Linked DNA regions of Astyanax mexicanus. The protein of the gene in region 1 interacts with the protein of each later gene in a biochemical or structural test. Links are inferred from orthologs where the notes say so. Each region holds a gene or a part of one and is shown in the gene's direction. Other genes may lie near its edges. The genes, in order: lyn and faslg.

What was found.
Region 2: the proteins of lyn (region 1) and faslg form a complex in vitro, tested with the Homo sapiens proteins (2 studies listed by BioGRID, with this or other methods). The link is inferred for Astyanax mexicanus from reciprocal best matches to the Homo sapiens genes LYN and FASLG.

Annotation. Positions count from the first base shown.
Region 1 is NC_064411.1:37,347,229-37,355,866, forward strand, and holds the start of lyn (tyrosine-protein kinase Lyn), read left to right. Parts: upstream 1-5,060; 5' UTR 5,061-5,208; intron 5,209-8,638. Other genes in the region: tgs1 (trimethylguanosine synthase), read left to right, coding at 3,285-3,398. UniProt on the Homo sapiens protein: Non-receptor tyrosine-protein kinase that transmits signals from cell surface receptors and plays an important role in the regulation of innate and adaptive immune responses, hematopoiesis, responses to growth factors and cytokines, integrin signaling, but also responses to DNA damage and genotoxic agents.
Region 2 is NC_064408.1:62,927,726-62,936,321, forward strand, and holds the start of faslg (tumor necrosis factor ligand superfamily member 6), read left to right. Parts: upstream 1-4,668; 5' UTR 4,669-5,595; coding exon 5,596-5,895; intron 5,896-6,671; coding exon 6,672-6,717; intron 6,718-6,824; coding exon 6,825-6,881; intron 6,882-7,840; coding exon 7,841-8,238; 3' UTR 8,239-8,596. UniProt on the Homo sapiens protein: Cytokine that binds to TNFRSF6/FAS, a receptor that transduces the apoptotic signal into cells. Involved in cytotoxic T-cell-mediated apoptosis, natural killer cell-mediated apoptosis and in T-cell development.

The DNA of each region.
Region 1 (8,638 bases):
AGGATGGGCAGCGACCAAACAATCCTTTTTTGTACGTTAAAAAGGTCTAGATGTAAATATCAGAAAATAAAAGCTACAATTCTGATCCATCATGTCTTTATTGTATAGCAAAACAAAACAGTTGGTCTTTATAGTTTTCCATATTTTTGAACGTGAGTGTATATAGCGCAAATTGCTGTTTAAAAGCATGCTTAAAAATGAATTAGGAACTCCCCCCAGGGGATTGGTTGGTTTACAAATGCCCATACCTCTATTAGTTCCGAGTTGTTATCTTATGAGTGAGGTTGAAAACTGGTCAGTGTGCTTTTCTTTGAGTTCAAGCTGGGCATGTTACCAGGTGCTAGATCGGTGTCATTTCCACAGTCAACCTGAGTATTTTTGCTGACCATGTCCATCCCTTTATGACCACAGTGTACACATCTTCTGATGGCTACTTTCAGCAGGATAATGCACCATGTCATAAAGTATGAATCATCTAGACAATGAGTTCACTGTACTTGAATGGCCTCCTTGGTCAACAGATCTCAATCCAGTAGAGAACCTTTTAGGATGTGGTGAAATGGGAGATTCGCATCATGGATGTGCAGCCGACAAATCTGCAGCAACTGTGTGATGCTATCATGTCAGTATGGACCTGATTCTCTAAGGAATTTTTCCAGTACCTTGTTGAGTCTATGCCAGAAAGAATTAAGGTAGTTCTGAAGGAACCTGGTACTAGCAAGGTGTACCTAATACAGTATGTATATAATGTCAGCTGTAAAAGAGATCTCAAAATTACTTTGGCATATGAGATTTGACCGCAATGCGAGGAAACCACCAGAAGTCCACTGAAACAGAATAGCAGGTGCTCAAAGGTGCTAGAAAATGATTTAATGTTTCAAGAGAAACAGAACGCTGTGAGCTTCACTCAGGAATTCATGGCACGACTACCATCCAGAAAGCTTTTGTATCAAAAGACCAGAGTGCAAAGACCTTTACAGGAAGTTCTGAAGCACAAATACAGTAGCATGCAAAAGTCAAAGAACACCTTGCGTTTATTTAATTCCTAGCCTAGCTTTCAGGAGATATTTCTGCGGAGACAAGAAATAAGATAATCCTCCAGCATCCGCTCAGGACTTCAATGACTGCATTCCAAGAAGATTAAAGCTATTCTGGAGGCGAAGGGTGGCCTATGTCCAACCTTCAATCAGAACAATTTTTTGTTACATAGACCAGAATACACATCAATTAAGCATAAAATCATCGATTAACCCACTGACTAATATGTGGGATCTACATATTAGGCAGCAAATGAACAGTCAGTTCCTAAAGGTGTTGGGGTTTTTGAAAGCAGGAAAAATTGACTTTTAAAAAAAGTGTAGGAATCTGAGCTACGTTGATATCAATGTCCGATTTGTAATGACCAAGGGATTGAATGGTTTAGAGGATCTCCAAAACATCAGATCTTGTAATGTCTTTGAAACAGATGCCCTGCATGGTGTCCAGCATGTTTCGCTGAGCATAATGCCTCTTTTCCCAAACTTGAAATTCCTCCAAAAACTTGCATGGACACAGTGTTTGTTCACGGCTGTGGTAATTAGCGCTATCTGGCTAATATATCAGTTTAAACTGTGCTTTAGGCCAAAAGCAAAATCAAACTACACCAAAGAACAGTGAGGACGGGGCACTAAAACCGCGAAAGAGAGCAGCATTAGTGACGTTTGACCACAACCTTGAAACCTGAAGAGACTAACAGTTAGTCTCTTACAAACAGTATTCACTCTCACAGTAAAGACGATTAAAATCACATTCTAATCAGTAAATCATTTATTTATTACAGCTACATCATCTACATAAACAAGCTACTGATTGTGTAAACTCTGTAAAACCCTGAATTGCCTGCATTAAACTGATTTTACAGTCATACCTATGGAGTAGTTGTAACCCAGTATGAATCTGAAGGGCTTGTAATTTTACACTAGAATAGTCAGAATCATAGAGTGATTTAAATCCTGTGTGAATCTGCAGTGCATCTAGTTTTAAAATCATTAAAAACAAGTATGATTATGCAGTATGTGTAGTTTTAACAATCTAAAAGTAGTAATTAGGTGTAATTTTAACCCAGTATGAGTGTGCGGTGTAAAGCTTTAACAGTCTTACAGTGTTAATTAAGATGTGACAACAAGTATGTATTTACAGTAGGCATAGTTGTTTCAGTCTAGTAGCAATAATTGTCTATTTTTTATCTAGTATGAATCTGCAGTGTGTTTAATTTTATCGTTGGCATTCATAATAATGAACATGTTTTAATCCAGTAAAAATCTAAAATGTTTGTAATTTTAACAGTATGACTAAGAGTTGTGATGTTACTTTAGTCCAGTATGAATCATCACAGTGTGCAAAGTCCAGCAGTATTAACTGTAGAGTGGTTTTATTCCAGTATGAATCAGCAGTGTACTTTATTTTTAAATCTGACCGTCATTATTTTGTAGTGATTTTAGTCCAGTATGAATTTAACAACCATACCATCATAATAGTAGCATGGTATTAATCCAATATGAATTTGCATTTTGTATATATTTTACAGTCTGACAGTGTTAAATATATTCTTTTATTAAACCAGTATGAATTTGCTGTGTGCATAGTATAACAGTTGATCACTCAAGTATGAATCAACATCATGTGCAATTTTTACAAATTGAACTCTTAATTTTGGTTGGCCTGTTTTAATCAGTGTGTTTACAGTTTGTGTAGTCTGGCAGTAATAATTGTATTGTGATTTTGATCCAGTATGAATCTGCAGGGTATATCATTTTTACAGTAAGACAGTTTACAGTATGGTCTGACTTTTATTCAGTATAAACCTGCAGTTTTTATAATTTTTACAGTGAGACAGTATGAATTATAGTCTGATTTTGATCCAGTATGAATGTGCTGTAAAATTGGAGATATTGTTTTTATTGAGACACGTTATTTTAACAGTGTAACCATACTAATTAGTGAGCAATTTTAATGCAGTATGAATATGTCATGCTAGTAAAATATCAGTTATCAGTGAGACGTGGTTGTGAGGTGTATGGTAATTGGTCCTACAGTGTATTACTGAAGTGAACGTCCAGCCTATTACCATCCTTTCTGTGGAAGTTTGAGGAGCTGGGGGACAATCTGCCAGTCAAATCTCATACATTATACAACCTATTTGAAGTAAACAATGTAATCCACCTAGATTTATTGTGTAGGTGTTTAAAGTACAGCAGCTTCAGATTAGTCTTAATGTTTTATTATATTTCTCTCTCTCTTTATAGATTGCAGCTCTGGCAGGCCCTGGTGGGAAAGTGGAAGTGGAGCAGAACTTTCTCAATAACAAACTCAAAACTATAACTGCATACTTCGGCAGTTTGATAAAGTCAGATTCTTAGTTTCGGTATTATTATTTTAACTCCCTCTCCTTTTGTACTTTATACACAGTTCTAATAATGTTCAGTGGATTCTGTACTATAATGTACTATAATGTGTCTTTCTGTATGTTTTATCCTACCATCCTTTTTTTTTACAAGTTATACCTGCCATGTTTGTAAAGGGAATTGTTTGTTTATTTGTTTTTTTAATAAATTAAAGTTCATGTCCTTTCGTGTGCATGTGTGTGTGTGGTCTTTGCCCTCACAGTGTTCACACTAAAACTGTTGACCGAGTGTGGGTGTGGGCAGGCCGGGGAACTGTGGAAGTACACTCATTTATCAGGGCTTAATTGTTTGTTAAATTTGAGGGGTTGCCAAATTGTAGTATTTCCTGCTTAGGAGTAAATGCAGTATAATTCACTATTTATCATCGTTCACTTATCTAGAAATTTGGCTCCTTGACCTGTTTTTTTTTTTTTTTTTTTTTTTTTACACCCAGATCAAAAGGGTAGTCCAACCATTTTTATAATGTAGGCATAGTTCATAGTTCATCACTTGAGATATATGCATAGTCATTCAGAGATTGAAATAGTTTATTGGAGAAAAATGGACTAACTAAAATTGATGGTAAATGTAACTCTGCATTCCCATGCCTACAACACAAATATATAATATTTTGTTTGCGGTCCAAATCAACCAGTGAATCGTTTCCTGTCTTTTAAATTTCATGTTTAATGCTGCTGACTGTATAATAGGAAAAAAAACTTTAAACTCAGGACTTAAACAGGAATAAAAGGGCTGCAAAATTTGTGACGATGGCGAAGACATTTGCCAGTGTTGGCTTGGTGGTTAGAGCAGTGTTATTGGTGATGGGGTTCTGGGTTTAAAACCCAGGTTAAAAAAAAACAGCCATTGTTAAACCCTTAAAGGGAATCCATTAAAGGAGGACGAGTAAACTACCTTAAAGTACTGTGTGTATAAACAGATTTTTCTTTTAAACTTCCTGTGCACATTTAAAGTTATCAGTGCTTTGTTTTAACTATTAGCACCCTCAGAATTCTTCCAGTGAAGTGTGGAACCGTTTTTGGCGACAAAAAAAAATAAAATAGTGATTTCTTTACATGGGCCTGTTAGGAGCATTGAATGCTGGGGGTGAATGGAGGTAGGCTACTCGACAAAAGTTCACACTCGTTATCATATTTTACTACACACAGGAATTCTCCTTTAAGCCTTACTACTTCCCAGTCCCAGGTGGATTTATAGTTCAATTTTAATGTGTCAACACAAATTTTGAATATGGTTGTCAGGAGCCCATATCTACTGTTTATTAACCACCAGAAATACTGTATCAACAACTGAGCAATACCATAGTAGCCACCTTGCTAAAACAGTACTCTGTAGTTTTTTTTTTTTCAATCAATCTTTATTCTGATGCTTTAACTGAGAAACCCCCAAAACAATAACTAAGTAGGAGTGTCTGCGTGGATTAAACATACAGCTCCACCTGTCTAAATTATAGTACGTTTTAGATCTACAACTTGTGCATTGACTTCCATGCGGCTGTTTTATTGGTTCTGGGCTGAAGGCCGGTTCAGTTTAAGCCCTCCATCGTTCACTGCACTGAGTTTTAGCCCCCTTTATGCAAATGCAGTGCGGGTAGCAGCAGGAAGTAGCTGCAGGTTCCTCTTTCTGTCTGTCTGTCCAGCTCACTTCAATGAGTCTCGCGACCACAGGCGAGAGAGAGAGAGCAGCGCGCGCTCGTTTGGCTTTACCCTCAATAAACTCTCTTAACTTAAATGCGTCACAACATTTAAGCTTCATATAACTACAGGTAAGATAATCCTTTAAATACAGTCTCTCTCCAGCTCCTCGTCTTTTTCCTTCCTTCTTCTTTTCTTTCTTTCTTTCAACTCTTTCCTCCTAACGAGCTGTTATACTCCTATCCGTTCTACTTTAAATCTTCTCATCTGACACGTTAACTAGCTGGTGGTTTTCAGGTGCTAACCTGGATAGTGTTAGTGAAAAAGCTGCGGTATTTAAGGTGGAACGGACAATTCGAGTAATAAAATAAGTTAAGGTGATTTGTACAGTTTTGTGACGTGAACAGTTAACTTACAATAAAAGGGTTAAATAAGGTATAAAAGTAAGAAGATTTATAGTAAAACGTTAAAAAAGGTTTAGAAATAGCAAGAAATTACAGTACAGCCATATCAATTTGTATAAAAGTGAAAAAGCTAAACAAAAGGGCTATAAAACAGGAATTAACATTAAAAACAGTAAAACTGTAAAAAGAAACATGGGTGTACAATGTTAAAAAGCTTTAAAACTAGACAATATTGACAGCAAAACGTTACAAAAAAAAGGCTATTAAGCCGATAAAAGATAGAAAACGTAAAACCATATTAAAACAATGAAAGGGTGTGAAAAACAAGTTGACAAGTCAAAGAGGGGTACAAAAAATGAGAAATTTACAGTAAAACATTAAAAATGGTTTAAAATAAAAAATGTGAGAGTAGAACATTAAAAGGATATAGAACTGACAGACAAACATTAAAACTGTATGAAAATAGAAAATAATACTGTAAAATATTTGTAAAAGGGTGTAAAAATTGGAAAAGCAAAACGGTACAAAAAAAGGTACAAAAAAAAGAAAAATTCACAATAAAAAGTAAAATGTTAAAGAGATATAAAATTGGACAATTGACAAAAAAAGCATATGAAACTTAACAAAATGTCAAAAGAAATATTACATTAAAACAGTAAGAAAACAAAAGAATTCCGTAAAAAAAGGATACAGGGCGTAAAAACTGAGAAAAACTAAGAAAATGGTATAACATCAGGAACATTTGACAATACATTGTGAAAGGGTATAAAAACAGCCAAATCTACAGTAAAACATATATATTTTTTATATAACTAGACAAGAATTAACAGTTGAACATTAAATAAAGATATGAAAATTAACATAACTTGACAGTAAAACATTAAAGGCATACAACAGAAACATTTGGAGAGAAGTAATAGGACTGTTGCTGTTTAAGCTACTTTTTCTATTGGCTAACTAAAGTAAACTCTTATTTGTCTCTATATATAGATTCATGTTTAGATTTTGAGAAAAATATCCCACCTTTGCAACATTGTATATTTTTTTGTAATCTTTATCAACAGACATTGCAAATTGTGTTCACATCCTAATGTAGCCTAAAGCAGGAACTGGTCACTCAGTCCAGAATGACAGTTAGAGCGTGAGGTCAGATCAGCTTCTGCTTGACCAGAATAAAATTGCTGCTTAATGCTCATCGTTGCCAGAAAAATGGAGGGGAAATCCTGTACAAGGTCCCAGAAGAGCTTGAAGTGAGAGATCTTAATCAGCAGTGGCTTTAGAAGAGCCCAGTAAACTCCCCCGACTCCCTTATCCCATATCTCATGGTTTTACACATAGTACACATGCAGTGCATTAAACAATTAAGCTCAATTAATATTTGAAATTTAATTAGTAATGATCTTTTCATCTGTACTTTTATAAAAGTGAAGTAATAGTGATTAGTTGGCACATTTTGTCTCGATGGTGCAATGAATTACTCTTTTTGGTCTTCCTGAACACACCCATTTCTTAACATTTTGTCTTTCTTCCTTTTTCTTTTTAATCATGTACATTTTTAATTAACTACTTAATTACTAATCAATAGTGACAGTGCTTATTAATTTAATACCTTCAAACCACTAATTTAGTTTAAATATTTGGCTAGGGAATTGTGAAGTGTGAACTGATTACAAGACCCTCAGCCGATCAACCAATACATTAAAAACAATTTTGTGTAGGTCGCATTTGTGACACCTACATAGGTCTGTCCTCTCGATGAGGGACTTTACAAGACCTGTGAAGGTGCCCTGTGGTATCTGGCATCAAGACATTAGCAGCAGACCCTTTATGCTATGTAAGCTGGGACGTGGGGCCTCCATTGATCATATCAGTGGTCTTCACTGGTTTCCTGTCTTGAAGCACTTCTGTGTACTGGAAAAATCCCACTAAAGACTTGCCTGATATTTTGGAGATGCTCTGATCCAGTTGTCTAGGTGTCACTATTTGGCCTTGCGACAGTGTCTCAGATTCTCATGCTTGCCCTTTTTATCTTCAAGAACTGACTGTTCACTTTGAGCCTAAAATATCCCACTTCTGGACAGGTGCCTTTGTAAAAAAAATCAACCAATCCATGTTTTTTGCCTCATCTGTCCGCAGTTATAATCTATTGACTGATTTATATAATATAAATAATTGACGTTTTATTTATAAAAATCCTATAAATAAACTTTTCTGGTTTTTAACATACAGAACAGAATTTGGCTATAAATAAAAACAATAGTAATGATATTAGCCAGATGTTTATGTCTGGAATAAAATGATCATATTTTATATCTATAAAAATTAAATAACGTACAATTTGAGGTTTAAAGGACGATTAGTATAAAAGCTACTTGGCCTTTCGTGATACTAGAGTTAACGCCGTATCATACAATACACTTTTATACCCTCAATCATTTTTGCCGGCCTCCGTATTGCAAATTCACTTTAGTTTAGTTAATGAGTATGTACGCACCAAAAATAAAATCTGTGAGCAAAACTCAACAAAATGAAACGTTTGCCCAAAAGTTGAATAATAAATATAGAACACATTTTTTTTCACAGCTTTTCATTAATTTTGTTTACTTTTTTCACCACTGCATCAAATAAAATGGATTTTTCTAAAATGAAACTACAAAACTACAATTTTAGCCTTTTAGATTATCTTATGTACTGTTTTACTGAGACAATGAAAAACAAGTATCTCCTTTGTTGAAAGACTGTTTCAAAATTCCTTAATGATTATATCAGTAGTGATTCTCCTAAATTACCTGAAATAAACTTTTTCCATTTCCATTGAAAGTTTTTATCTCTCTCTTGTAAAGTAGCATTTTAATCTCAGTTCTGGTGTCAGTTTTGTTCTAGCCGTTGTCATCTTGTTACACTTGTCAGTGTTCTGGGTACTGGTCACTCTGGCCACAGGGCTTGTTACAAAATCTGAACAGGAAGCGACTGTAGAGCAGCTCTAAAATGAACGGTATTTTCCAGTTTTACAGAATGCCCTTAAAATGCCTGCTGAACCAATTTTTCCTTCAGTTTCATTAAATGGACGTGTTGACTAAGGCTCTATAGTATACAAACTTACTGGTTTTACAGGTTTTACACCTAAATACACAAAATTAGGCTAATGAGAGGGTCA
Region 2 (8,596 bases), on another chromosome or scaffold:
ACATTTAAAAAAAATATACAAAAAGCCTTAATCAAATATTCACTCAAGTCTGGTGAGTGAAGTCAGTGTATAATGAACATGAAAAATTCTATTGTCTTTTTTTTGTGCACTTAATACAAAGAATTTATCATTTTTGCCTGCCATTTCTTTGATGATAATGCGGTTTAAGCATCAGCTGTGAGAAAAATCTTCCATTCCATTGAAAGGTTGTGAATCATTCCTGGAAGCCTCTTGTATGTGATGGCTGAATCTGATATTATTTAGGCCAATTGTGGTGATTCATGTTTCATATTTGTTTGGTATAGCTTAGTAGTGTGGTCTAGATTGCAACAGAAACTAGGCGCAGATGTCGTTATCCAACTAGGCCGAATGTCTTGTCAGACAGTGTAACTGTCAGAATGCCATGTTAATACGGATATTTTTGTTTATTTATCATTATACATTCATTGTTGTTTTATTTCATATGGTTGTTAAAAGGGGCTAAAAATCTATACGAAAAGGTGTAAAAATGAGGGTAAAATGTGTTAATAAATATACGACTCTAAAATAATATTTGGTTAAAAAGAGGACTTTTAGTTTAGTGTTGCTTTACTGTGGAGCGTAATGAGTCACGTGATGCGAGTTAGTTAGGCGGGTAACTGGAGAATTATGGGTCAGAACTAACTCGGCGGCAGAGAGAGAAGACTAACTTAGCAGCAGAGGGAGAACAACAATTAAAGCTAACACGAGGTCTAAAGGCGCACACGGTAAATGTTTGTCTGTTAAATATTGTTTAGTAATGTGTTTAATATGCCTTTTTTCAATGAATCTTGTGTTTCGAGTTGTACACAGAATTGTTGTGCTAGCTAGCATATACTGAACGGTTGCTTTGTTTTGTGTAGTTTTCACGGTGTCCGATGAAGGACCAGAGAGAGGGAGAGAGAAAAGGAGAAATAAACCTTCAAAAGACATCAGTATGACTCGTGGCCATTATTCCATTAGACCGGTGTAGCTACAGACAGCGAGGGGCTCTGAAGAGTTTCCATCCGTGAAAAACTCAAACTGCTGAAGGAATCTGAGAAGGATTCTTGCTCATTGGAAACTTTTCTTAGAGTGCAGAAGCAGGGGGCTCACCAGAACATTGGAAAAAAGAGATGAGTGGTCATGACTGACTTACTATTGGGGAGGAGCTGACAGATTGAAGGATTGGCAAACGGACATGGAGTGCTCTGAAAAAAAAGAAGCAGCCTGTTCCCGTAAACTTGTGCTGAGAAAATGTGTTAGTGGTGGGTATGCTGCAGCAGTTGTACAAGTTAAAGTGATGCCGCTCGCATCATTTGCTTCAAACCGCACCACTAACCTCCACCCCCTCACCCTGTCTGTTCTCATGCAGACCCCTGAGACTGCGAGTTGCAAGACTGAAAGCGCATGAAGACACTCAGTGCGTTTCATGTGGCAGCTTCTGTTCCTCAGTGGTTGTTTGATAGGGTTACTGAAACTATCTTAGTCTGCTGCATCATTGTTTACATATACAATCAACCCCCTGTTTCTGAAATGGTGATCACATGTATACAGTCTCTTCTTTACATTTTTTAAAAACACATATATTTGCTGCTGAAAGCCGTTGTGGAGGGTATTGATCAGCCTCACTCTGCTCACAGTGTAGCAGATCTCACTTAGTCATTCTAAACTTTTTAACAGCTACAACGTCATAGTCCTGCCCCCGAGCGTTCTTCTCAGAGCTTAGAAGATTTCACATATTCTTTACCTGCTGACCTACATCACTGAAACGGCACGGGTGGTCTTTTGGTTAAACAGTGTGGGTCTTCTGAAGAACTCTTTCTAGGCCATTATGGTGAGACACTGTATAAACTGGCATTACATTGCACTGACTCTAAAGCAGCACTAATCAAAAATGTAATAAAAATTGTAAAAATAAAATAAATAAAAAGTGCCAATACAAGAAGAATGAATAAACAACAGCACTCTACAAGGCTAAATGTGTACAGTACACTCTAAAAAAATAACTTTTAAACAAAAAAAGGATTATTTGACTTGGAAAAGTAGACAAACTATGTTGATAGAAATGTTTTACAAGATTTAAAAAGACCCACATACAATTATGCTTTTACATAATAGAGAAAGATCTTTTAAGCAGTTACAGTGGCTTGTACTTTTTCACATACAGTATTGTCACCGTAAAACCACAACTTTTATGTATTTTATTGAGATTTTATAGGATAGACCAACAGAAATTAGCACATAATTGTGACGTTTAATTCAAATGACATAAAAAATACCAAAAAAAAAAAGTGTGATGTGCAAAAGTGTTCAACCCACATATATCAATAATTAGTAGAGATAGCTTTCACTGCAGTTACAGCTGCAGGTTTTTTGGGGTTTGTATCTACCAGCTTTGCACATCTGAAATTACTAGTTAGAAAGTCTTGCCACAGAAGCTCAATGAGATTTATGTCAGGACTTTGATACATTAATAGTCTCTGTTTTAAACCATTCCACTGTAGCGCTGGCTGTATGTTTAGAGTCATTGTCTTGCTGGAAGGTAAAATCTCCTTCCAAGTCTCAAGTCAATGAATTCTATTTAGAAATGTAAGGATATTAGGATATTTTGAATTTTATTTTGAATACTTTTGTACGTCACACATTTTTTAAGATTTTTATTTCATTTAAAATTTGGAAACCATGTTTTATTTTTGTTCAACTTCCCTATTATGTGCTAATTTTTTTTTGTTTTATCATTTAAAATCGGGAAAAAAAAGTACATTTAGGTTTGTGGTTGTAAGGTGAAGAAAGGTGTGATGAAAAGTTCCATGGTTATGAATATTTTTGCAAGCTTCTGTAAATGGCTCTTTAAGAAATTATGGTTCTGTTATTGTTGTTTACAAAAGACGATACAAATACACAATAAATCTGCTTATACAGTGGAGTGAGTCACTTTAATACAACCTGTCTGACAGCATAAGAACCTTTATTTCCAATTTTCTACCCAGTAGAGTTTTTCAAGTTCAATTAGGCACAACTTTGTCAACACAGCATCTACACGAACAAGGAGTCCCTCAAGGGAGTATCCTCTCTGTCACCCTCTTCAGTGTCAAAATCAACAGCATTGCAAAGGAAATCAGTCCAAATCTCATCAGCACTAAGATCAGCACTTGGTCTTTCAAAAATGGCTTCAAGTTTTCTAAACCCAAAACTGTTTGCACTCACTTCTGTCAACTGCGAACTTTACACCATGAGCCATTGTTATATATGGATGGTGCAGCAATCCAAGTTGTGAAAGAGGTTAAATTCCTTGGTCTTACATTTGATAATAAATTATCTTTTATTCCACATATGAAGAATCTTAAGAAGAGATGTTTTAAAACTCTGGACATTTTAAAAGTGCTGACAAAGACGAAATGGAGGGCAGAGAGGACTGTTCTGCTACGCTTGTATAGAACACTTGTGCGATCCCGTTTGGACTATGGGTGTTTTGTCTATGGATCGGCAAGAAAATCTTACACTCAGATGTTGGATACTATTCATCACCAAGGTTTAAGACTGGCCTTAGGGGCCTTTAGAACCTCACCAGTGCAGAGTCTTTATGTGGAAGCTGGAGAACCATCCCTTCAACTACGACGTTTGAAACTTGCTCTACAATATGCAGTTAAAATCAAGGGAAACAGAGATAACCCTGCCTACTCCACTGTCTTTCAACCGCAGTATCTGAATTTTTATGAGGCTAGACCCAGGACTATCAGACCCTTTGGACTGAGAATCAAACCTTTTCTTGATGATTTGAATGTTGATCTAGATGGATTAACATCTACTCACCTTTGTTCTATTCCCCCTTGGACCCTGAGGCAACCTATAATCGTGCAGGACCTGAGTCACAAAACAAAATCAAGTACACATCCAAACGAGTACCAAAGTTGCTTTCTTGATGTTAGACAACGCTTTTCATCGTACATTCCAATCTATACTGATGGCTCAAAAACTGATACTTGTGTGTCCTCAACAATGGTAGTCTCTTCCAATCATTGTGGAATACGCATCCCAAACTTAGCTCTATTTTTTTTTGGGCTGAAGCCCAAGCCTTGCTTTTAAGTCTTGAATACATCGAACAACACCACCAACACAAGCCCCTGATTTGCACAGACTCTAGATCATGCCTTCAGGCTTTGGAATTTTTAAAGACTGACCACCCCCTGATTGTTAAAATACTTGAAAAACTGGTCACATGGGCCTGAGTGGTAACGAAAAGGCAGATAGTGCTGCTAAAGGAGCTTTGAATGAAAACATCTCTGAGTGCCAGATCCCTGTCTCTGATATCAAACCTGTACTTTCGTCCTATATTATTGATAAATGGCAAGCTGAATGGGACAGCTGCGATGACAATAAGCTGCATGAAATCTGCACTTCTGTAAAACAAACTGTAACTCAATTATTTTCTTGTAGACATGATCAAGTTGTTTATACAAGGTGTAGGATTGGACATTCTAGGCTCACCCATGTTTTTTTTACTAATTAGAGATGAACCTCCCCTGTGTGATCACTGTGGCAATGTTTTATCAATCAAGCATATTTTATCTTGTCCTGCTCTTAGAGTGAAAAGACAGCAGTTTTTTTACAGAAATTACTACTGTAGATATTTTTAATAAGGTCTCACCTTTGAAACTTTTACCTGGTACAGATCTGGCTTTGACCATTACTATTAAGTAGAAAAGAGCTGGTCCGCTAAAAGCAGCTAAAAGATCTCAAAAATTAACACATTATGCAGATCTGAAGTTGGTAGTGTGATGGTCTGGGACTGCTTTTCTGCTTAAGGGCCTGGACAACATGCTGTAAAAGATTAAACCAGGAATTCTGCTGTTTACCAGACAATCCTGAGACTTTTGCAGCAGGACACGGATCCAAAGCACACAAACAAGTCCAAGTCCACAAGTCCACCTCTGAATGGCTTAAAAAAACGAAGGTTTTGGAGCCTAGCCTAAGTCTGATTGAAATGCTGTGAATGATCTTAAACAGGACATTCATGCTCGAAATCCCTTCAATGTGGCAGAATTAAAACAATTCTGTAGAGGAGAGTTGGCCAAAATTCACCAAAAGACTCATTGGCAGTTTTTGGTAAAGCTTGATTACCTTTGTAGTTGCCAAGTGTTTTGGTTCAGGGGCAAACACTTTTTTTTTACACAGGGCTAGATTGGTTTGAATTTTTTTTCCTTTGATAAATAAAACTATCATTTAAAATGTGCTTTTTATCTTTATCTGGTATTAAAGTTTGTTTGTTAAAATTTTGAAAAATATCAGTATGACAAAAAAGCGAACAACAAAAGAAATCTGTTGGGGGCCAATACTTTTTCACACCACTGTACATGACTAACTGTAATGCATGTACTCTGAGTGCATTGTGTAAGCAGGCAAAAAGTTTTCCTGTCCGTGATGTCATCAGAACCCATCTCATCAGCATATGCATGCTGAGAGAAAGAGAGAGAGGTAGGTTGTGGGAGGGCCACATATGAAGTGTCGACCACATAAGAAGTCTTTTAAAAATTTGTAGCTCTGTAACTCTTTTTATACACACACTCACCCTTGGACAGACTGAGAGCTGTAAGCATGAATGGTAACCTAAGGTACCAGTATCCACCAGTGTTCACAGTGGATGCTGCAGGAGGCCTTCATCAGCAGCATCATCATCATCATCCCCAGATGGCTGCTGCAAGGACAGATCCGACCCTGGTTCCCTGCTGGACCTTTCCCCCTGCTCGTGCCCAGACCAAGAGGAGGAGCTGTGGAGGACTGACCTCTGCTGCAGGAACCCTCCTGGTTATGGTGCTGGTGGTGATCTTTGCTGCACTGGGACTGGGAGCCTACCAAATTAGGAAACTCGAAATGGAGGTGATAAAGCTCAAGAAGGTGAGAAGCTTCACTTTTGTCAAGAAGAGTTTCATAAAGTGACAATAAATAGCTGATTTTGATGCCTATGAAGAATCACAAAGAATAAGTTCTTCTTTGTATAGAAGAAACTTTGAATCAGTTCAGCATTTAATAAATGTAGCATTCAGTGGGTTCTTTAAATTGATGGTTATGTATGACCATTGCCTTTTAGAAAGAGCCCCCCTCCCCTGTTTAAGTGTATGATGTTTGATTATGTATTATGTGTTTGTTTGTTTGTTAGTTTGATCTGGAATTAACTTATATTAAATTATAAATTATTTAAAGTTCTAAATTATTTAACTACAAAAAAATAGTGGCCACTAAAAACCATGAGCAATTGAAGTGCTGCCCCCCACACAGGTCCTTGTCATTTAAGTTCAATGTATTAATTTCTAGATTTTCTAGTTTTTTCTAAAGCTTAGTGCATTAGAGCATTTTCTCTGCATTTTGACATTTACTTGAGCACACTCGGACCGGAATCGTCTAAAAAAAGATAAAGGTTTGTGGTCACCAGTCCATCAGTACAGGATATCCTCTACTCAAACCAGAGCGCAGTCAGACATACATCTCACCTTCTTCTTAAGAAGTGAAAGCTGAGCATAAAGGGCACAAAGATGGTCTCTCTACACTCTAATTCATCCTCATTTACACATTAAGAAGTTTCTGTACATTGTTTACAAGCACCAGTATAAAAATCTGATGCATATGCAGAATTTAACACCCCTCATACTGTATTTCTATTTCTTTCATGACAGGAAATGAACAAACCAACTGAAAGCATGGCACCGCAGAAGCTGGTTGGTAAGTTTCTCAGGCTGTTATTACCTGTGGCCTGCTTGTGCTTATTGCACTTCATCAAACACAAACATGAGAACTAACCTTCTTCTTACCTTTTGACTTGTTTTCAGGAAACCAAGTAGAAGCAAATGAAAAGGCCAATCATATTGAAGCTGCACATCTGATGGGTAAAGACCATTTCTTTTTTCTAAAGGGTTCTAGTGTGAAATAACTCCTACACAACAGCAGGCATCATGTGTGGGATCAGATAAAAGACTAATTAAAGATTCTTTTTAGGCTGCACATGAACACACAAACACACACACACAAGCACTTTCCTGTGGATGACTAAGTGTGTCAGACTGCAGGGGTGTTAAACCTGTCCACATCGAGCCTGTTTGTCTGCAGGCTGTCATTCTAAACAACCTGCAGCTCTCCTCATTTCACTTGTTTAATCAGTTGGTGAGTCTACAAACAGCTGTGATGCATTTCTGCATGGCTAGAATTAAAACATACAGCCAAACTGACTGCCCATGGAGTTCTACCACCCAAACCCATGTGGATCAGGACAGGAACTCAACTCTTATATGTCAAAATCTCATCATAAAATCATATATGTCAAACTTTTAATTCTTAAAGGTGCCATTGAATACATTTATTAAGTATATTTTCTAATATCTATATAGAAGAGACACAACTTTGGCACAAAAAAAAGTCCGCATGTGGTTCTACACACCCTTTTCAACTGTGTTCTTGTGTTTATGCAACATGATGAGTCACTATATTAAGCAAATATTTAGCAATGTTTACTGTATAGTGCTGGTATCATGTCCTGTGGTGTGGTAAGGCTAAATAAGGGTTTTTCATACCCTCCTGGGATTTATGAAATTGTGGCAAAGGTTGCCTCATACAGATAACTACAAGTAACCTAAATCCTGTTGTAGTTAACTAACTTGCAAAGGAAAATGCAGTTTTTCTCTCTAGGGCATATTTAAGAGGCTTTTTTTTAATTGAATACAATATTTGAATATATACTTTTTTGAAATTATGAAAGTGAAAGTGTAAACGGTGGGCTCACCACATATTGGTTCTGGTTTCATTAGTAATGCTGAATTGTAATACCAACTTTTTCTTCATTTCCATTCAGGAAAAATGCAAAGAACAGACACCTTGAAGTGGGAATCCAAGCATGGCCGTGCTTTTACAAAGGGCATCCAGTACCGAGACGGCAGTCTACTGGTGAACAAGACGGGCCTCTACTTTGTCTACTCGCGTGTAGAATTCCTTTCAAATAACTGCAAACAGAGGGACTCCTTGGTCCATGAGGTGTATGTGAAGAGTAATGGTGAAAATCAAAAGCTCATGGGTGATCGCAGAGAAGGTTTCTGCCAGGCTGGGAGCACAGAGGTGTGGACGTCTGGAAGCAATCTTGGCTCCATCCAAGAGCTCAAGCAGGGTGACTTGGTGTTTGTTTCTGTGTCCCATCCGGAACGGCTTAGCCATGAATACTACGATAATTACTTTGGTATCTTCAGCCTCTCCTGAACAGAGACTCGTGACTAACAGTACAAATAACAGACAGGGGTAGGAAATGCGCCTGCTCAAAACTACCCACCGCCAACAGTCTTCTAAAGAAAAAGTCCACAGGTCCATCAGTTTCAGTTATGCCTGTCCTGTAAACTGTAAAGGATGTTTAATTTTAGATAAATTAGAAATGAATAACTACAGATCAATTTTAACTTAAATTTCAGGATTTTCTTTTGTGAAAAACATGTGGTACTTCAGTGGCTTTACTCCAATCAGAATAGCCACCATGCAGCCAGTAAACAGTAGCTATTAACTTAATATCAGTGATTTTAATTTCCATTTTATTTCTTTCCTCGCTAATAATTACATGCACAAT